Saccharomyces cerevisiae S288C: one gene and its partners. The protein of the gene in region 2 interacts with the protein of the main gene of each other region in a biochemical or structural test. Each region holds a gene or a part of one and is shown on either strand. Other genes may lie near its edges. The genes, in order: PRP46, PRP45, CEF1 and YJU2.

Region 1 (4,573 bases), on a different chromosome or scaffold from region 2:
GAGTCAATAAACAGTATGATGAACTTGCTTTCGCAAATAAAAGATATCACTCAGAAGCACCCAGTAATAAAGGATGCAGATAGCTCGAGATTTGGTAAGGTTGAGTTTAGGGACTTTTATGACGAAGTTTCACGGAATTCCAGGAAGATCTTACGTTCCGAATTTCCCTCTCTCACAGATGAGCAGTTGGAACAATTATCGATTTATCTAGATGAATCATGGGGAAATAAAAGAAGAATTGATTATGGTTCAGGTCATGAATTAAATTTCATGTGTTTACTTTATGGACTCTATAGTTATGGAATATTCAATCTTTCAAACGATTCAACTAACCTCGTGCTGAAAGTTTTTATAGAATACCTTAAAATAATGAGGATACTAGAAACTAAATATTGGCTTGAGCCTGCGGGCTCTCATGGTGTTTGGGGATTAGATGATTATCATTTCCTTCCATTTCTATTTGGTGCCTTCCAATTAACCACCCACAAGCACTTAAAGCCGATATCAATTCACAATAATGAGCTCGTAGAAATGTTCGCTCATCGGTACTTATATTTTGGTTGTATCGCTTTTATTAATAAGGTCAAGTCATCCGCCTCCTTGAGATGGCATTCTCCTATGCTAGATGACATCAGCGGTGTAAAGACTTGGTCAAAAGTTGCTGAAGGGATGATAAAAATGTATAAAGCCGAAGTCCTTAGTAAATTGCCCATCATGCAACATTTTTACTTTAGCGAGTTTTTGCCTTGTCCGGATGGTGTATCTCCACCAAGAGGCCACATACATGATGGGACTGATAAGGATGATGAGTGCAATTTTGAAGGACATGTTCATACTACTTGGGGAGACTGCTGTGGTATAAAGTTACCGAGCGCTATTGCGGCTACTGAGATGAATAAAAAACATCATAAACCAATACCTTTTGATTAGGAAAAGTCCATTTATAGATGCTATCTCATTGTATATACACGTATACAGGGTACGTACTTTTTCCATCTACTCCCACTAAAATCTTTTGGCGCTTAAGTTGGGGTTCCACGCTAGCCCCGGTTCTGACTCTTTTGTAGCCGTCTCATCCTGTTTCCAAATCTTTATGCTTTTGTCTGCTTCTCCAGTGATTAATCTTAAACCTGTTTTATCGAAAGTGCTACAAAGAACACTCCGTTCACCTTCCAGAGAGCCTACCATTTCTCTCGTGGCCAACGATTGGTATTTGTGACCAGACTTATAATCATAAAAGGAAAGCACACCATTGTCACCGCCAGCGAATAATACATCATCTTGATTAATGCTTAAAGTATTGATTATGCCTGTCTTTTCAGACTCAAAATTGGTGAGTAAAGACCCCTCTGCTAATCCCCATGATCTGATGTCATCAGTACACGCAGAAGCCACCGAAAACTCCTTAGGATGCAACGCTGTAGCTCTCACAGACCTCTTATGATGTGTTAGAACTTTCATTGTTTTCCCAGCAACTACATCCCATAACCTTACCGTAGCATCAGTCGATGAACTCACCACTTGAGGGTCTACTGGAGTACACTGTACTTGATTGATTGGACCCTTATGCCCAACTAGTGTAATAACAGGTATTCTGGTTCTCATATCCCAGAGTTTGATAACGCTATCTCGGCCTGCGGTAGCTATGAGATCCAGCGTTGGATGTATGCTCACCGTACGAACCCCCGATAAATGTCCATAGTAATCTCTAATAATTTGGTTTTTCTCTAGGTCCCAGCATTTGACCGTCTTATCTTCACTAACAGAAAATAAATAAGGATGTCGATCTGACACAGCAACGTCTCTCACTGTCATTACATGCCCTGCTAAGGTAGTTTTTAATTTTCCTGTTGCAAGATCCCAAACTTTCATTGTCGTATCATTACTTCCGGTGATGAACCATTCGTTGTCAACAGGATCGATTGCAACGCATCGTACCCATCCAAGATGGCCATTGATAACGCGTGAAAGTTTCCAGGGTGCATGCCATTCCGGCCTTTGTGACAGAAGTTTTTCGTATCGATTAACTATAAGTTCTTCAGCAACCTCTGGTTGGAAAATTTTATTCACAAAAGCAGATGCATGCGTATCGTGATCTTTCTTGCTAATCACTGCTTGTGATGCTTCTGAAAAATCTGTAGGAACATGCTGCAGAGTAACTTTCTTGCCTTCACCACTAAAAGAAGAACTTTCCTTCCTATAAGTATCATATCGCATTAGCAATGATTTCTGACCTTCCATTTCGCTTTGTAGGTGGGGCGGCAGAGTGGCCATATATGAAAATTGGTTATTCCAGCGTATTCTGGAATAAAATTTGTCTACATCTCCTAAATTTTCGACTTTGTGATCATTTCCGTCCATTCTCACTAATCTCCATGTAACACAGTGTCTGCATCCTCGGAAATGGTTTTAAGATGCAATGAAGTGGGTAATAATTACTGTTAGCTTCACATCTTGAATAATCTTTTATTGCCAAAATTGTAGCTTTTCCGTATTAGATGATGAAGAATTTTGAGCACCCTTACTTAATAAAAGAGTTGTTGAACTCGAAATAGGAATACGAGATGAGGAGTAATTCTCTGAAAGTAGATAGCTCCTCTTGTCACATTGAATGCTACTTTATTGTGACTATAGGTGATTTAAGCGAACGAATGTTCTTAGGTCATCGTGGATTTGTGTGGTGATTTTCGGCTTATCTTAACAATGTTGACCGCGTGGACCCTCCCAATCTTGACAACAGAACACTTATCAATAACGGTATACAATAAATATCTTGTATGAATTAAATAAAGTAACGTTTTTTCCCTCATATCATTCCGAATCATTACGAAAATTCCAATACCTGTATTTTGAAGTCAACAAGAGTTTCGTTATCCGAATACTATTTTTTGTATCAATAAATTTTGTTTCGTTTTTCATTAATAACTAGTCACTGTGTAGTGGAAGCAAGTTCTCCTTATCCGTTGCCAAGAGACAATAAAAGACCCACATATAGGTGAATATACTGCTCACCATGGTTAATCCTGTTGGATCCTCGAAATTGGAACAAAACAATATAAAAAGCATTATAGGATCATCGTACAATCGACTATACAGCCAATTTACTTCTGATGAGTTGACAGAAGTGGGAAACTACAAGATTTTAAAACAAATAGGTGAAGGAAGTTTTGGAAAAGTATATTTAGCGCTCCATAGACCAACACATCGTAAAGTCTGCCTAAAGACGAGTGATAAGAATGATCCCAATATCGTTAGAGAGGTATTTTACCATAGACAGTTCGATTTTCCTTATATTACAAAGCTTTATGAAGTGATAGTGACAGAATCAAAAGTGTGGATGGCATTAGAATATTGCCCAGGGAAGGAATTATATGACCACTTACTTTCTCTGCGTAGAATATCGTTATTGGAATGCGGAGAGTTGTTTGCACAAATTTCAGGTGCTGTTTACTATGCACACTCAATGCATTGTGTTCATAGAGATTTGAAGTTAGAGAATATTTTATTAGACAAAAATGGAAATGCAAAATTGACGGATTTTGGTTTTACGAGAGAATGTATGACAAAGACGACATTAGAAACGGTTTGCGGTACCACAGTTTATATGGCACCTGAATTGATAGAAAGAAGGACTTATGATGGATTCAAGATTGATATATGGTCATTGGGAGTGATACTATACACATTAATTACGGGATATTTGCCATTTGATGATGACGATGAGGCTAAAACGAAATGGAAAATCGTCAATGAAGAACCGAAATACGATGCTAAAGTTATTCCGGACGATGCTAGGGATTTGATCTCACGATTATTGGCTAAAAATCCGGGAGAGCGCCCATCGTTGTCACAAGTTTTACGCCACCCTTTTTTACAGCCTTACGGTTCAGTGGTTTTAGATCAGACTCAGAAAATTTTGTGCAGACAGCGCAGTGGAGGGACTCAGTTTAAAAGTAAATTAGAAAGGCGATTGCTGAAGCGTCTTAAACAATCAGGGGTTGATACGCAAGCAATAAAACAATCAATTTTGAAAAAAAAGTGCGATTCACTCTCGGGTCTATGGTTATTGTTGTTAGCCCAAGGGAAAAAGCAAGAAAATTGCAAATATCCAAAAAGAAGCAGGTCCGTTTTATCAGTCAAAAAAGTTATTGAAAGTGCTACGCATAACGACACTAATGGCATTAGCGAAGATGTTTTGAAACCCTCACTTGAACTTTCTAGAGCTGCTTCATTGAGTAAAATGCTCAATAAAGGCTCAGATTTTGTAACATCGATGACTCCGGTTAGCAGAAAGAAGTCTAAAGATTCAGCAAAAGTTCTGAATCCTACTCTCTCTAAAATATCCTCACAAAGGGCTTATAGTCACTCTATTGCAGGTTCTCCTCGCAAGTCCAATAATTTCTTACAAAAAGTTTCTAGTTTTTTCAAGTCAAAAAAAAGCTCTAACAGCAATAGCAACAATAGTATTCACACAAATGTTAGTGAAAGCTTGATTGCAAGCAATAGAGGAGCCCCATCTTCAGGGTCGTTTCTCAAAAAAAACAGTGGTTCTATTCAGAAATCAAGAACTGAC
Region 2 (4,430 bases):
TCCATAAAGTCGATACTCCAAGAGATACGACGCTCGCTGTCGTTGAATCTGGGCGACTATGGGTCTGCAAAATGTAACTCTCTCTTGCAGTTGAAATACTTTTCAAATAAGACGTCTACGGGGATAATCCGATGCCATCGAGAGGATTGCGACCTTGTTATCATGGCATTGATGTTGATGTCGAAAATTGGCGACGTCGATGGACTGATCGTGAACCCCGTCAAGGTAAGTGGGACCATCAAGAAAATAGAGCAGTTTGCTATGAGAAGGAATTCTAAAATTCTGAACATAATCAAGTGTAGTCAATCATCACACCTCAGCGATAATGACTTTATTATCAATGATTTCAAGAAAATTGGAAGGGAAAACGAAAACGAAAACGAGGACGATTAGAATATATTAATATATAGATGTACACGTATATGCAGTAGTTTTATTTTTTTATCTATAATACAACTCAAGCACAAGAATGCTTTGTTTTCCTAGTGCTCATCCTGGGCCTAGGCGCCATAGTTATCCGATTTATCATCGGATTCAGCTTTAGTAAACTGAATGGGGCCGTGAGAACCACTGGCACCTTCACTCTTAACATTGACCGCTTCGTCCAGCTTTTCGTAGTTGGTCTTGTATATGCTTTCAATATCTTGTTGGACGAACAGTGGGTTGTCATAAACCTGGTCTTCATGCCTTTTGGCGGAGGCATTTGCCCCTCTTGTGAAAAATCTTGAATCGTACTGCAGATCCGGTTGTTCTGAACGCTTTGCTGCGCCCAGAATTATCTTTTCGGATACGTCTCTTCCTTGAGAGTACGCCAGCTCTTTTAGTCTGGCCACTGTGCTCGTTTGCTTTTTGGGCTTAACTATTGCTCCCGTCTGCGGAGTCCCGTTGTGGTATCTGGCTCGTTGGCTCAATTCTTTCAATTTAGATTCTTTAGCAAGCATTTCCTGTTCCATAGCAAGCCGCTTCAATTCCATTTTGGACCTGATCTCTTGTCTTGCCTTCTTGTCAGCGTTTTCTAACGCTTCGGAGAGCTTCATAAACCCATCGTTGATGGTATTATTTTCGTTGTCAAGAGCTTTACCTACACGTCTTTCCAAGGCCACGGTATAACCATTTGGATTTTTCCAGTTTGACACAGCTGCAGGTATCTTCCACTCATTTGGATCAGCTTCTCCCCTATCATTGCTGCCATCCATATGGAGAACAGGCACGACTTCGTCGTTTTCTGTGGGTGCTACAACCTTTCTCGCCTTCTTCCCAACGAACCTTGGCAACAATGGATCCATTTGCTTGGACACTACCTCAATATGGTGGCTGTTGTTCAATAATAGATTCGCGGGTGCCTGATGTGTTTCGGTGACGTACCTTGATGATGCCCTGTTATTTGAGTTGGCTAGTTTCGCATTCACAAGCCGCTGAATGTATGACTTGGTTCTTGCTGTACATTCTTGGATTTCTGCTTTCGTTGGCAAAGGAACCGATAGTTCGAAATTAGACTGTCTCTTTGGAATAAAATCATCGAGCTTAACGTTTTTAGCGATTTGGTCAGTCAATATTGCCGGCTCAACGCGATCTGAGCTCAAAGCCGTCGAAACTCGTCCTTGAGAATGTTTTGGAGGTGGTAGTCTGTTACTAAACATATTTGGTTGAGGTTGCTGATACGTCCTCTCGGCTCAGAGCTGCCATGTGTCAATAACCCCATAATTTGAACTTCTTTCATCAACTTTTTAGCTGGGGAAAAATCAAATTCGTGAAGAATTACAATAATACGTTAAGGTAAAAGATTAAATATTAAAAAATAGTATGAGTACTTTTGAATCATCAGACAAGAACAATGAAGGATATGAATAGTATTAGATATGTATTCTTTTTTTTTTCCAGGGACATAAAGAGTTGTTTTTATAAGGTGCGGAGTTATCTCAATTTGCTTCTGATTTTAGAAGCTATTCTATGCCCGGTCGACTCTTTGATTTCGATCCCAAACGGCATCATGGTAGTTTCGGAGCCAGATTCGCCATTTTCCCACTCTAATCCATCTCGAAGACTTTTTCGAAAGGTAAACCCTTCTTCTTGTCTCAGCGTGTTATATTTGGACTTATGCTGTAGCGGCTTGATCATTGCCGAAGCAGGTATTGGCGGATAATGTAGCACAGCCGGCTTCTTGTACCAACCCACCTTTGTTGGTTTAGGATTTTCTGCCTCTGTCATTGGCGGTACACCAGCAAATCTCACCCTTTTGATGGACAATTCACTGGAGTTTGACTCCGGATCTAGAGTTAATGTCTCTATAGCCAAAGTATCACTACTATTGGCAATCAGGGTACTTGATGATTTTCCTGAGGAGGTGTTGTTTATACTGGATACTTTTGGTGAAGGCGCTAACGATGAAGATGCAGAAGGATTGGGTGTAGATGCACTTTTGTTCATCAAATGCCGCACTGTATCTTGGACGATTTTTTGATTTAACGTCATGGTTGAGGACTGCAAAGAATTGGACCTTTGATTGTTGAGCTTTGAAGGTGGAGCTATTGACGGATGTCTTGTAGAATTCAAATATGAGGTTTGTTGTTTGTTTGTATAGGATTGCAAAGATGAGGATCTAGGCCTTCTGCCGTTGATCAGTTTTCTTTTCTCCGGAGACACCACGCTTTTCTTCGTTTCTGCGTTTTTATTGTTGAAAGTGGTCCTTACAGGCGATACTGAGGGAGACCTAGAAGAATTTGAGGCTAAATGCGCCCTTGCCCTTGTTCTTATGCTCTCTAAAGAGGCCTGTCTTGATGGGCTTGCTGAAGATGTGGGTGAGGGGGATGGAGAAGAAGAGGCTGGCAGCTTTGTTATTGACGGCTTCTTCTTTAGCTTACTTTTCGCGTTTTTAACCTCTAAATACAGAGCCTTATCTCTTTCTAGCTTTTCTTTCAAATTCTCCCGCAAGTCATTGGTTTCATCGAAGGTTTTATAATTTTTCTCAATATATTTCCAGCAATCCATCCAATTGGATAATAATCCCATAATGGACCTCAATTTCGGTATAATCTTGCAGATATGATTATTAAACAATTCCACAACTAAACCAGGTTGAAGGTGGAAAATGGGAGTTCTTGAGGAATTGTTATCGGTACGCGCCGTTTGAGTCCAAAATTTTAAATTCTCCTGCAGTTCGAATAAAGCTGTGACATCATCACATTCTGGAGAGAGCAAAGCCATCAGCTCACAAATTATCAAATCGTAATGGTACACGTTTTCGCTGGATAATCTTGTCTTGATGTCCAAGAAATGTTGTTTATTCGGTAGGAAAATTTGCCTAGAGAAACTGATAATAACACACAAGACAGAAAAAACCCGCAAGTGGAAAGTGTATATCCTGTGTAGAGTCCATTCCCAATGTGGTAGATCCTTCTGTAAATTTGACAGTGAAGTAGGTCTTGTTTCCGAAAATTTCTGCAATTGGTTGTAATATGTCCTTAGAATGGGGAAGATTTTCGAATGAACACAGGAGTTCAGTTTCTCCATCACTTGCCATTGCAATTTGTAAAAGGAATGGGTGGACTTATCCCTTACTGGATCATTAATCAAAACGGCTAAATCTAGAATCAATGTCATTTCAACTGGATTTAACAAGTCTTCAATTATTGAAGTGTCAAATGGAAGTGACCGAGCTTTGTACGCATCCCTTTCCAATAAAATCTGTCTCAACTTGGCATTATAAATTTTTATAGCATTTTGAGCAATGCAAGACAGCGAATTTAAAATCTTCCATTGTAGAGAATTATTGTATATGCACGATTTATAGTGATCTAGGGGTACCTCCTCGGGAAACATCCAGCCCTCTACATCAATAAAATTAGTTGATAATCTCTGCTGCACTTCGCTTAGCTTTATCAGCTGGAATCGACAGAGCAAATGGTACCTCTTAGCCAATACGGGGCTTACATTAAATATAGGACCCTCACAAAGTGATAAGATGAAATTAACGAGGGGAATAATTTTGTAGGACTCGTCATTGTCTCTTTTCTTCTTCAAATGCGGTACCAGAACGTTTAGTAGCCTATTCAGTTCATTCAGCTTGTAAAGAGCGTTCTTATATTGAATGATTTTTATATCATACGAGTCCAACGGAACAGAACCTTTGATTGCCGGAATAGAAGCGCTGGCAGCAGCTTTGGCTAGCAACTTTTTTCTCTTTTGCACATCTACCATGTTGTAATATAAAACTAGTCTAAATCCTCAACCTTCAGCTTCCAATCACTCCTTTTATCATTGTTCATTCGCTAACAAACTTCAAACATATGCCTTTATTATGCGTCTTCCTGCTGTTTCAACCATTGATTGCAGGGTAACAGACATTTTTAAGGGTCTTTCCCACAGCATCTATAAGAAAGATCGTCAAAAGTATTAGTTAAACATTGAAAATTTGCGCCAAAGACATAGCA
Region 3 (4,900 bases), on a different chromosome or scaffold from region 2:
CTTTAAAGTCATCGTTTTGATTTTCACCAGTTGCTGTTTTTTGCAAAAAGGATTTTCTATTTCCAATGCTACTGCGATCAGAAAGACTAGATATTGGTGCAAGTCGCAGAGAATTTGATCTAGCAACGTCGATTTTATCCAAGCCAACAATATTCTCCTCATCAGGATCTTTGATTTTATTCGCGTCATCTGAAAAAGTTTTCAATTCATTTAATAAAAATGTGATATTAGTGACACGAGATTTCACTGATTGAGAACCCCGAAAAGAGCCATCTCTTTTCATATTATTTGGAATATTCTTTTCATTCATAGTTTTTTTCAAATCGCTAACTTTTGGTGCGGTGGCTCTCATTGTTTTCCATGATCTTGCGTCCTCAGCAACAAACCTATAGATACTACCTTTTGCATTAGCATCAGAAATTACAGTATCGTTAGCTTCTTCTATATTGTCATCTATGCTGTTGTCGAATTTATTTTGCTTGGCCGCAAAATCGTTGTTATCATACACTGCTTTCCCATTTGAAAAAATAGCATTAGGGACATTCTTGTACTCCAGAGGTGTAGTACGAACTTGAGAGTCCGACAGTAAATCAGAAGTAGAAATTTGATTATCACGAGACAATAAAATCTGCGCCCCCTTCTTGCTGTATTTATTTGATCCAGTATCAGAATAGTATGACAATAAATCTTCCTTGGTAAACAAAGTTCTAGTTTGCATTTTGTACTCAGTTTGTGACTTGTAGTCATTGAGTTTTAAAAAGTTAGCTGCTTGTAAATGGTACGAATAATAGGTATACTCAGGCTCAGAAACGTTCTCTAGAAAATAATTCAAACCGGATAATAGTGCCATTTTTCCATACTTGTCAAAGATCTCTTCCATCATTTCTTTTTGCACACCATGTGAATCCAGTTCACGTAATAATGAGTACAGTTTTGAAAAGAGAATGCTGCTTGGAACCTCAGTTTCAACAATGTTAAATAAACATATAATGTGGTTTTTCATGTAATGCGCCAAGTCGATGAATAATTCCAAACTGATACTTGGCTGCGTAATATGTTCAACGAGGAAATCAATATCTTCCACAACTGCATTCTTTTCAACATCCTTGACGGTGTCACTTTTCAATTTCAATAGTAGTTCATATAACATATCTGAGGTCTGTTCAGCGTAATAAGTTTTATGGTTAAGGTCTGTCATGGTGATACAAGACTGTGCCACAACTTCTTTATTAGTTGCATTTTTCAACTGGAAATTTAAAAGCTTTCTCATTATATCAAGAACACTCAACCCCACTATACTGACATCTGAAACAAGTAATGACGACATCAATTTCAAGGAAACAATTGGATTTACATTTTTATCCTTGTCGCTTAGTTGTCTGACCAAAAGAAGTATAACAATATATCGTAACTGAACAGGTATACCATTGCATACAAACTCTAGCAGTTCCTTATTAGGTGTACTTTGCAGACAGCGCAACAGAGTACGAATAGACAAATTCAATTTGTCTGTCTCAGTTGTGTTAAAATAGGATTGCAATGCTTTTACTGAAAGGTCATGATTATCTTCGGCGGCCTTATCTAACCCAATTGTACGAGTTTGTGTTCGACTTAGCCTTTTTCCTAAATTGCTCTCCAGAGCTGCTTCCAGCGACAAAGTTTTAAATTTCGGATTTCTCTCTTGGAACTTTGAAATAGTATAGGCAACAGACTTGGAAACAAAGTGGTTTAGTTGTGGGTTGCTTGAAACACTATTTGTGTTTGATATATCAATACAGCATTTCAGAAGCATGTCATCATTATGAATTCTTTCAGTAACTATTTTAAAAAAAAGATCAACAAAGTTCTGGTATAACTGGACGAATTCCATGTCACCGTTACACAAGACGTCGTCCAAGTTCTGGCATATACTACTAAATGCCAGTTCTATTAATTCAACAACAGATACATCATTGTTAAAATTGTTGTTGGAAAGAACTTTGTTCATAATGTACAAAAAATCTTTAACAAATACATTCAAATTCTCCTTACAATGCAACACAATTTTGTTCATTAAATCCAATGTAACGGCTATGTTCCCTATGCGCCGATGGTTCAAGTCGGAAGTGGAACGCTTAATCAGGTAAGTGCTAACTTTCTCCAATTTACTACGCCTCGAGTTAACGTAATATAGCAAATATGAAGTTTCCGAAGATTTAGGCTTCTTATCTGTGGTCCTTCCCGTAGGATAACATTGATTGACCAGTTTCTGATGTTTTGGTGTGAACATCATCCGCATAGACAACTGCATCGCAAACCACTTTCAGAACAATTGAAAATGAACGAAAGATGAATAATAGAGCGAATGATCTGGGTTCAATATACAGTCTGCCACTGAATTAATACTACTCCAATAGCGGGGTTGCTCACAATACTTTCAATTTATCCTGGCTGCCTGGCTTTTTCAACAAAACCATTACCTTCCTAGTAGTTCGAACAAAATTTTCTTCCTCTTCCTTTGGCCGGGGTTGAAGTTTAATGAAAAATTAATGCTATGAACTATTATGACAAAAAAGCATATGCGACTCAGGAAGATAGTAAAGAAAAAAAGCAAAACATTTCTAAGAGGACTATACTAGCATTTCAAGATGCCCCCCGTACCAATATACGTGAAAGGCGGTGTATGGACCAATGTGGAGGATCAGATTCTTAAAGCGGCTGTACAAAAATACGGAACTCATCAGTGGAGCAAAGTAGCATCCCTTTTGCAGAAAAAGACTGCCAGGCAGAGTGAATTAAGGTGGAATGAATATTTAAATCCAAAGTTGAATTTTACAGAGTTCTCGAAGGAGGAGGATGCCCAACTTCTAGATCTTGCAAGAGAGCTGCCTAATCAGTGGAGGACCATAGCTGATATGATGGCCAGGCCTGCACAGGTCTGCGTCGAAAGATATAATAGGCTATTAGAAAGTGAAGACAGTGGAGGGGCTGCGTTAAGTACAGGAGTTACTGACTTGAAAGCCGGGGATATTAATCCTAACGCTGAAACTCAAATGGCTAGACCAGATAATGGTGATTTGGAAGATGAGGAAAAGGAAATGCTTGCTGAAGCTAGGGCTCGTCTGTTAAATACCCAAGGTAAGAAGGCTACAAGAAAGATTAGAGAGCGGATGCTCGAAGAATCAAAACGCATTGCTGAACTACAAAAGAGGCGTGAGCTAAAGCAAGCAGGAATTAATGTTGCCATTAAGAAACCGAAAAAAAAATACGGCACCGACATTGATTACAATGAAGATATAGTATATGAACAAGCTCCCATGCCAGGTATATATGACACGTCCACTGAAGACCGCCAGATAAAAAAGAAGTTTGAGCAGTTTGAGAGAAAAGTCAACAGAAAAGGTTTGGATGGTAATAAGGATAAGCCAAGTAAAAAAAATAAGGACAAAAAAAGAAAACACGATGAGAACGAACACGTTGAGAAAGCAGCACTGGGTGAATCTACTACATTGACGGATGAGTATAAAAAACCAAAACTTATACTATCTGCACCAGGAACGAAACAGGGAAAAGTCACCTATAAAAAAAAGCTAGAAAGCAAAAGACAAAAACTAATCGAGGCACAAGCAACTGGCACTGTGTTGACACCAAAAGAACTACTACCCCACGACTCCGGCCAAGAAGATAATGAACGCAGTAATATAAAGAGTGGTAAACAGCTAAAATCACGCATACGAAAATTTTTAGTGCAAATGTTCGCATCTTTGCCTAGTCCCAAGAACGATTTCGAAATTGTATTAAGTGAAGACGAGAAAGAAGAAGATGCAGAGATAGCGGAATACGAGAAAGAATTTGAAAATGAAAGAGCGATGAATGAAGAGGACAACTTCATAGAACCACCATCTCAAAATGATGCGCCACGCGTCTCATTAGTAGCCGTTCCATTAGCTTACTCAACGCTACCCATACCAGAATTCAAAAACAATCCGCAGTCCGCGATTGACAATAAGTACAACTTGCTAGTCGCGAACGCCATAAACAAAGAACCTCACATGGTACCAGAAGATACGGTAGATTTTCTCAAAGAGGTGGAGTCGCGTATGCAGCATATAACCCAAGGGCGCACTTCCATGAAAATACAATTCAAAACAGCAATGCCCCCAACTGAGGTTCTTCTGGAATCGATCCAATCAAAAGTGGAGTCTATTGAACAGTTACAGCGTAAACTACAACATGTGCAACCACTGGAACAACAGAATAACGAGATGTGCAGTACCCTCTGCCATCACAGCCTGCCCGCTTTGATTGAAGGGCAACGCAAGTACTACGCTGATTACTACGCCTACCGACAAGAGATACGATCGCTTGAGGGTCGTAGAAAGCGTCTTCAAGCCATGCTAAATTCTTCTTCTTCCATATAGCATTAGTATAGCATTAATATAACTTTTATGAACTAGGACATAGAGGACTTGTGACAACGCATTACCCGGAGTTAGAACGTTTTCTTGCCAAGTTGGCCACATCGGCAAACCAGCGATGGTAATAAGATGTAGTACTGACAAAACATGGTGGATAGGCCAGAAGAGCGTGCATTGGCTGGCGAAAAGATCGAGGACAATGATTCCAAAATTATATATACATTTGATACTATCTTTATTGTTGTTGCCGCTAATTTTGGCGCAGGATTATTATGCAATACTAGAGATAGACAAAGATGCCACTGAGAAGGAAATCAAATCAGCGTACAGACAATTGTCTAAGAAGTACCATCCGGATAAAAATGCTGGGAGCGAAGAAGCCCATCAAAAATTCATTGAAGTCGGCGAGGCATACGATGTATTGAGCGATCCTGAAAAGAAAAAGATTTATGACCAGTTTGGTGCAGATGCTGTAAAGAATGGCGGTGGCGGTGGCGGTCCAG
Region 4 (3,905 bases), on a different chromosome or scaffold from region 2:
TTCCTGTGATTTCTCTTCGAATGAGTCAAAAATTTGAACTCGAAATGAATGTATTAGAGACTGGGTTTCTTCGAGTTTGCTGAGATCTTGGCTATGCACAATGTTTCCTGCGCCCCTAAGGTGAAAAAAACATGCATGCTTGTTTCAACAGACCAGTGTGCATAAAGAATTTCGCCCTTAGCTGCGATTAAAGAGTCAAGGCGTGAAAAACATAGGCGAAAGTGCTGACCGTTCTTCCCTTTATCTTTTTACCATCTTCGTTATCTGTTACCTGTTCAAAAGAAAGTGGGAAAGATATTGGTGTGCTACGGTGGGATCTTTTTTTTCTGCCATTTTCTATACTTTACTTCCACTTATAAAATATTTTACAAATTCAAGGGAGACGTGTGACAAAATAATAATCTAGAACTCAATGAACTTTTGTCCTCACTACAATTGCCCCTCGGATGGATTTGAACTTACAAGAAATATCACGTTGGCGCGCGCTAAAGTCGCTTGCCAATGCGCTATGAAATTTTCATGACCTGGCACATTTTAGCACAGTGCCATTAATCCCTTTATTATGGGCATTGATGCGACTTTAAAACTGTACCTTCCTTCGCACATGCTGAATTTTCTTAATGAGATTCATCTACGATGCTTTAGAGCTAGCCTTGTTTTCTTTTTTATGCTTCAAGAGTAAGTAGTGAAGAACCCCACTAGACAAATACTAAGGGATGCTGCAACCACGTCTTATACTTCACCCATACATAACATTGGAATCTCATTAATTTTTGCAAAGATATGGTGAACAAGTTTCAAAATAAGAATGTATGTGTACCGAATCGTAGCTCGAGGTAATAATGAAAAAAAAAATCGGACATCTGGAAAGTTACGAATATAGAAGCAGATACCCCTCTTGACGGCAAACATTGTGTGCTCGACCTTCTATCCCGTTAAAATATCATAATAAACAAACCCCTCCCGCGAAAACAAAAAAAGAGAGCTAAAAAAAGTACTTCTTCGCGTTATAGATGGTGCCGCACCGTACGTCATAACTAAAAATAGCGTTAGCCACAGCTCCCTGAACGAAAAGGGCCCTTCGGCCCGATTGGAATACGGGTCCGCTTACGTCTGTGCGTGCGGGTTGTCCCACAACGGTAACTTACTCCAGGAGAGCCATCTCGAAGGTGCCACAAAAGAAAACAAAAAAAACAACAAACAATAAGCTCTGTGGTTCACGTTCAATGTAGTGTTTTTTCACCTTTTAATTTTGATAATTTGTGGTGCAGAAAAAAAAAAAGCAAACAAACAAAATCTCAATTATTTAAAGGACGATCTTAACGTTTCTTTCTTTCGCTATCTTCCTTGAATTTTTTTTCTGTCTGAAGTAAAATATCCCGTAACAAACTAATAAATACTACGAAAGTCTCAAAAAACAATAATGAAATTCTCCACTGCTTTGTCTGTCGCTTTATTCGCCTTGGCTAAGATGGTCATTGCCGATTCCGAAGAATTCGGCCTGGTGAGTATCCGTTCCGGCTCGGATTTACAATACTTGAGTGTTTACAGTGATAACGGCACTTTGAAACTTGGCAGCGGTAGTGGCTCATTTGAGGCAACTATTACCGATGACGGTAAACTGAAATTTGACGACGATAAGTATGCTGTTGTCAATGAGGATGGCTCATTCAAAGAAGGTTCTGAGAGCGATGCTGCCACTGGTTTTTCTATTAAAGATGGCCATCTAAACTACAAGAGCTCTTCTGGTTTCTACGCTATCAAGGACGGGTCGTCTTACATTTTCTCTTCTAAGCAATCCGACGACGCTACCGGTGTTGCGATTAGACCAACTAGTAAGAGCGGATCTGTTGCAGCAGATTTTTCTCCAAGCGACTCTAGTTCCTCTTCATCTGCTTCTGCTTCGTCTGCTTCCGCATCATCTTCTACAAAGCATAGTTCGAGTATAGAATCTGTCGAGACCTCTACTACTGTGGAAACTTCCTCTGCTAGCTCCCCAACTGCTTCAGTTATCTCTCAAATTACTGATGGACAAATCCAAGCTCCAAACACAGTTTACGAACAAACAGAAAATGCAGGTGCCAAGGCTGCCGTCGGCATGGGTGCTGGTGCTCTAGCGGTCGCAGCTGCTTACTTGTTGTAAGTACGAGAACAAAACCTGCATGTTTTATTTCCTTCAATATAGCTTTCTACATAATGATCACTTACATATAGCGTAATGTAATATGAAATGGCCCATAATATTCTCTTACATTGTCCTCCTACCTACATTCCTTTTCTTGCATGCAGCTCTCACATTCCCCGATTCGCTTGAAAAATTTAAACTTGTAGAAAAGTAGGTGAATGTCCCGCCGGCGGTTTCTCTGCTGCATGTAGAAAGATGGATATACAGAAAAGGAGATAAGAGTAGCTATCTCAAGTTTGTTCCACTGACTGCTAATACGCATAGAGTTGTTATTTATTGTACATATTCGAAAAAAAGCAAGAAATCACTACGGTGACCTCAGTAGAACGAACTAATAAGTCAAACCAAATTAACCGTTTCCAGGCTGATAGGAGAATACAAGAATGTCTGAAAGAAAAGCTATTAACAAGTACTATCCACCGGATTACAACCCACTGGAAGCTGAAAAGCTATCCAGGAAAATGGCTAAAAAACTGAAAACCATGAATAAGAGCCACGCATCGATTAGATTAATGACCCCATTTAGTATGAGGTGTTTGGAATGTAACGAATATATTCCCAAAAGCAGAAAATTCAATGGTAAGAAAGAGCTACTGAAGGAGAAGTACCTGGACTCCATTAAGATATATAGACTAACCATTTCATGTCCACGTTGTGCCAATTCCATTGCATTTAGAACAGACCCCGGTAATTCAGATTATGTAATGGAAGTGGGGGGCGTAAGAAACTATGTCCCTCAGAAACCAAATGATGACCTGAACGCTAAAACAGCTGTCGAAAGCATAGACGAGACACTGCAACGCTTAGTGAGAGAGAAGGAAATGGAGCAGAACGAGAAGATGGGTATAAAGGAGCAAGCAGATGACAAAATGGATTTGCTGGAAAAAAGACTAGCCAAAATTCAACAAGAGCAAGAGGATGATGAGGAACTTGAAAATTTAAGGAAAAAAAACCTTGAAATGAGCCAGAGAGCTGAAATGATAAACCGCAGCAAACACGCACAACAAGAAAAAGCAGTAACGACTGATGATCTGGACAACCTCGTAGATCAGGTATTTGACAATCACAGGCAGCGTACCAATAAACCTGGCAATAACAACGATGAGAAGAGAACTCCGTTGTTTAATCCTACATCCACTAAGGGAAAAATACAGAAGAAAAGCTCTGTGCGTACGAATCCGTTAGGGATAGTTATAAAACGAGGAAAGTCTCTCAAATGACCTAGAAAAGTAAGGAACGTACGATTGGTATCATGATCTCTTGTGATGCTGTGCTACTGTGGTTGCTTCCACACTATAGCGTCCATCGCTACTTACGAGGGGCGACAGCCCCTTCGGACTTCGAAGTGTCTGGCCGTTTTTTCATTGAATTTTCTTATAAATGAATACATATCGGAAAAGCCATTGTTGACTAAAGCAAGCCAAAGCCACACAAACCGAGGACAAATAGAAAAGCATGGCTCCGTATCCATACAAAGTGCAGACGACAGTACCTGAACTTCAATACGAAAACTTTGATGGTGCTAAGTTCGGGTACATGTTCTGGCCTGTTCAAAATGGCACCAATGAGGTCAGAGGTAGAGTTTTACTGATTCATGGGTTTGGCGAGTACACAAAGATTCAATTCCGGCTTATGGACCACTTATCACTCAATGGTTACGAGTCATTTACGTTTGATCAAAGGGGTGCTGGTGTTACATCGCCGGGCAGATCGAAAGGTG

What was found.
Region 1: the proteins of PRP45 (region 2) and PRP46 form a complex in vitro, tested with the Saccharomyces cerevisiae proteins (one study listed by BioGRID).
Region 3: the proteins of PRP45 (region 2) and CEF1 form a complex in vitro, tested with the Saccharomyces cerevisiae proteins (one study listed by BioGRID).
Region 4: the proteins of PRP45 (region 2) and YJU2 form a complex in vitro, tested with the Saccharomyces cerevisiae proteins (one study listed by BioGRID).

What each region holds. Positions count from the first base shown.
Region 1 is NC_001148.4:265,175-269,747, forward strand, and holds PRP46 (mRNA splicing protein PRP46), read right to left. Parts: upstream 2,362-4,573; coding exon 1,006-2,361; downstream 1-1,005. Other genes in the region: peptidylprolyl isomerase RRD2, read left to right, coding at 1-930; YPL150W (non-specific serine/threonine protein kinase), read left to right, coding at 3,014-4,573. UniProt on the Saccharomyces cerevisiae protein: Involved in pre-mRNA splicing. May also be required for cell cycle progression at G2/M.
Region 2 is NC_001133.9:82,835-87,264, forward strand, and holds PRP45 (mRNA splicing protein PRP45), read right to left. Parts: upstream 1,641-4,430; coding exon 501-1,640; downstream 1-500. Other genes in the region: RNA-binding protein POP5, read left to right, coding at 1-393; protein phosphatase regulator GIP4, read right to left, coding at 1,915-4,197. UniProt on the Saccharomyces cerevisiae protein: Involved in pre-mRNA splicing. Associated with the spliceosome throughout the splicing reactions, until after the second catalytic step.
Region 3 is NC_001145.3:690,754-695,653, forward strand, and holds CEF1 (Cef1p), read left to right. Parts: upstream 1-2,627; coding exon 2,628-4,400; downstream 4,401-4,900. Other genes in the region: EFR3 (Efr3p), read right to left, coding at 1-2,290; SCJ1 (Scj1p), read left to right, coding at 4,597-4,900. UniProt on the Saccharomyces cerevisiae protein: Involved in pre-mRNA splicing and cell cycle control.
Region 4 is NC_001143.9:259,709-263,613, forward strand, and holds YJU2 (mRNA splicing protein YJU2), read left to right. Parts: upstream 1-2,568; coding exon 2,569-3,405; downstream 3,406-3,905. Other genes in the region: CWP1 (Cwp1p), read left to right, coding at 1,424-2,143; YJU3 (acylglycerol lipase), read left to right, coding at 3,641-3,905. UniProt on the Saccharomyces cerevisiae protein: Part of the spliceosome which catalyzes two sequential transesterification reactions, first the excision of the non-coding intron from pre-mRNA and then the ligation of the coding exons to form the mature mRNA.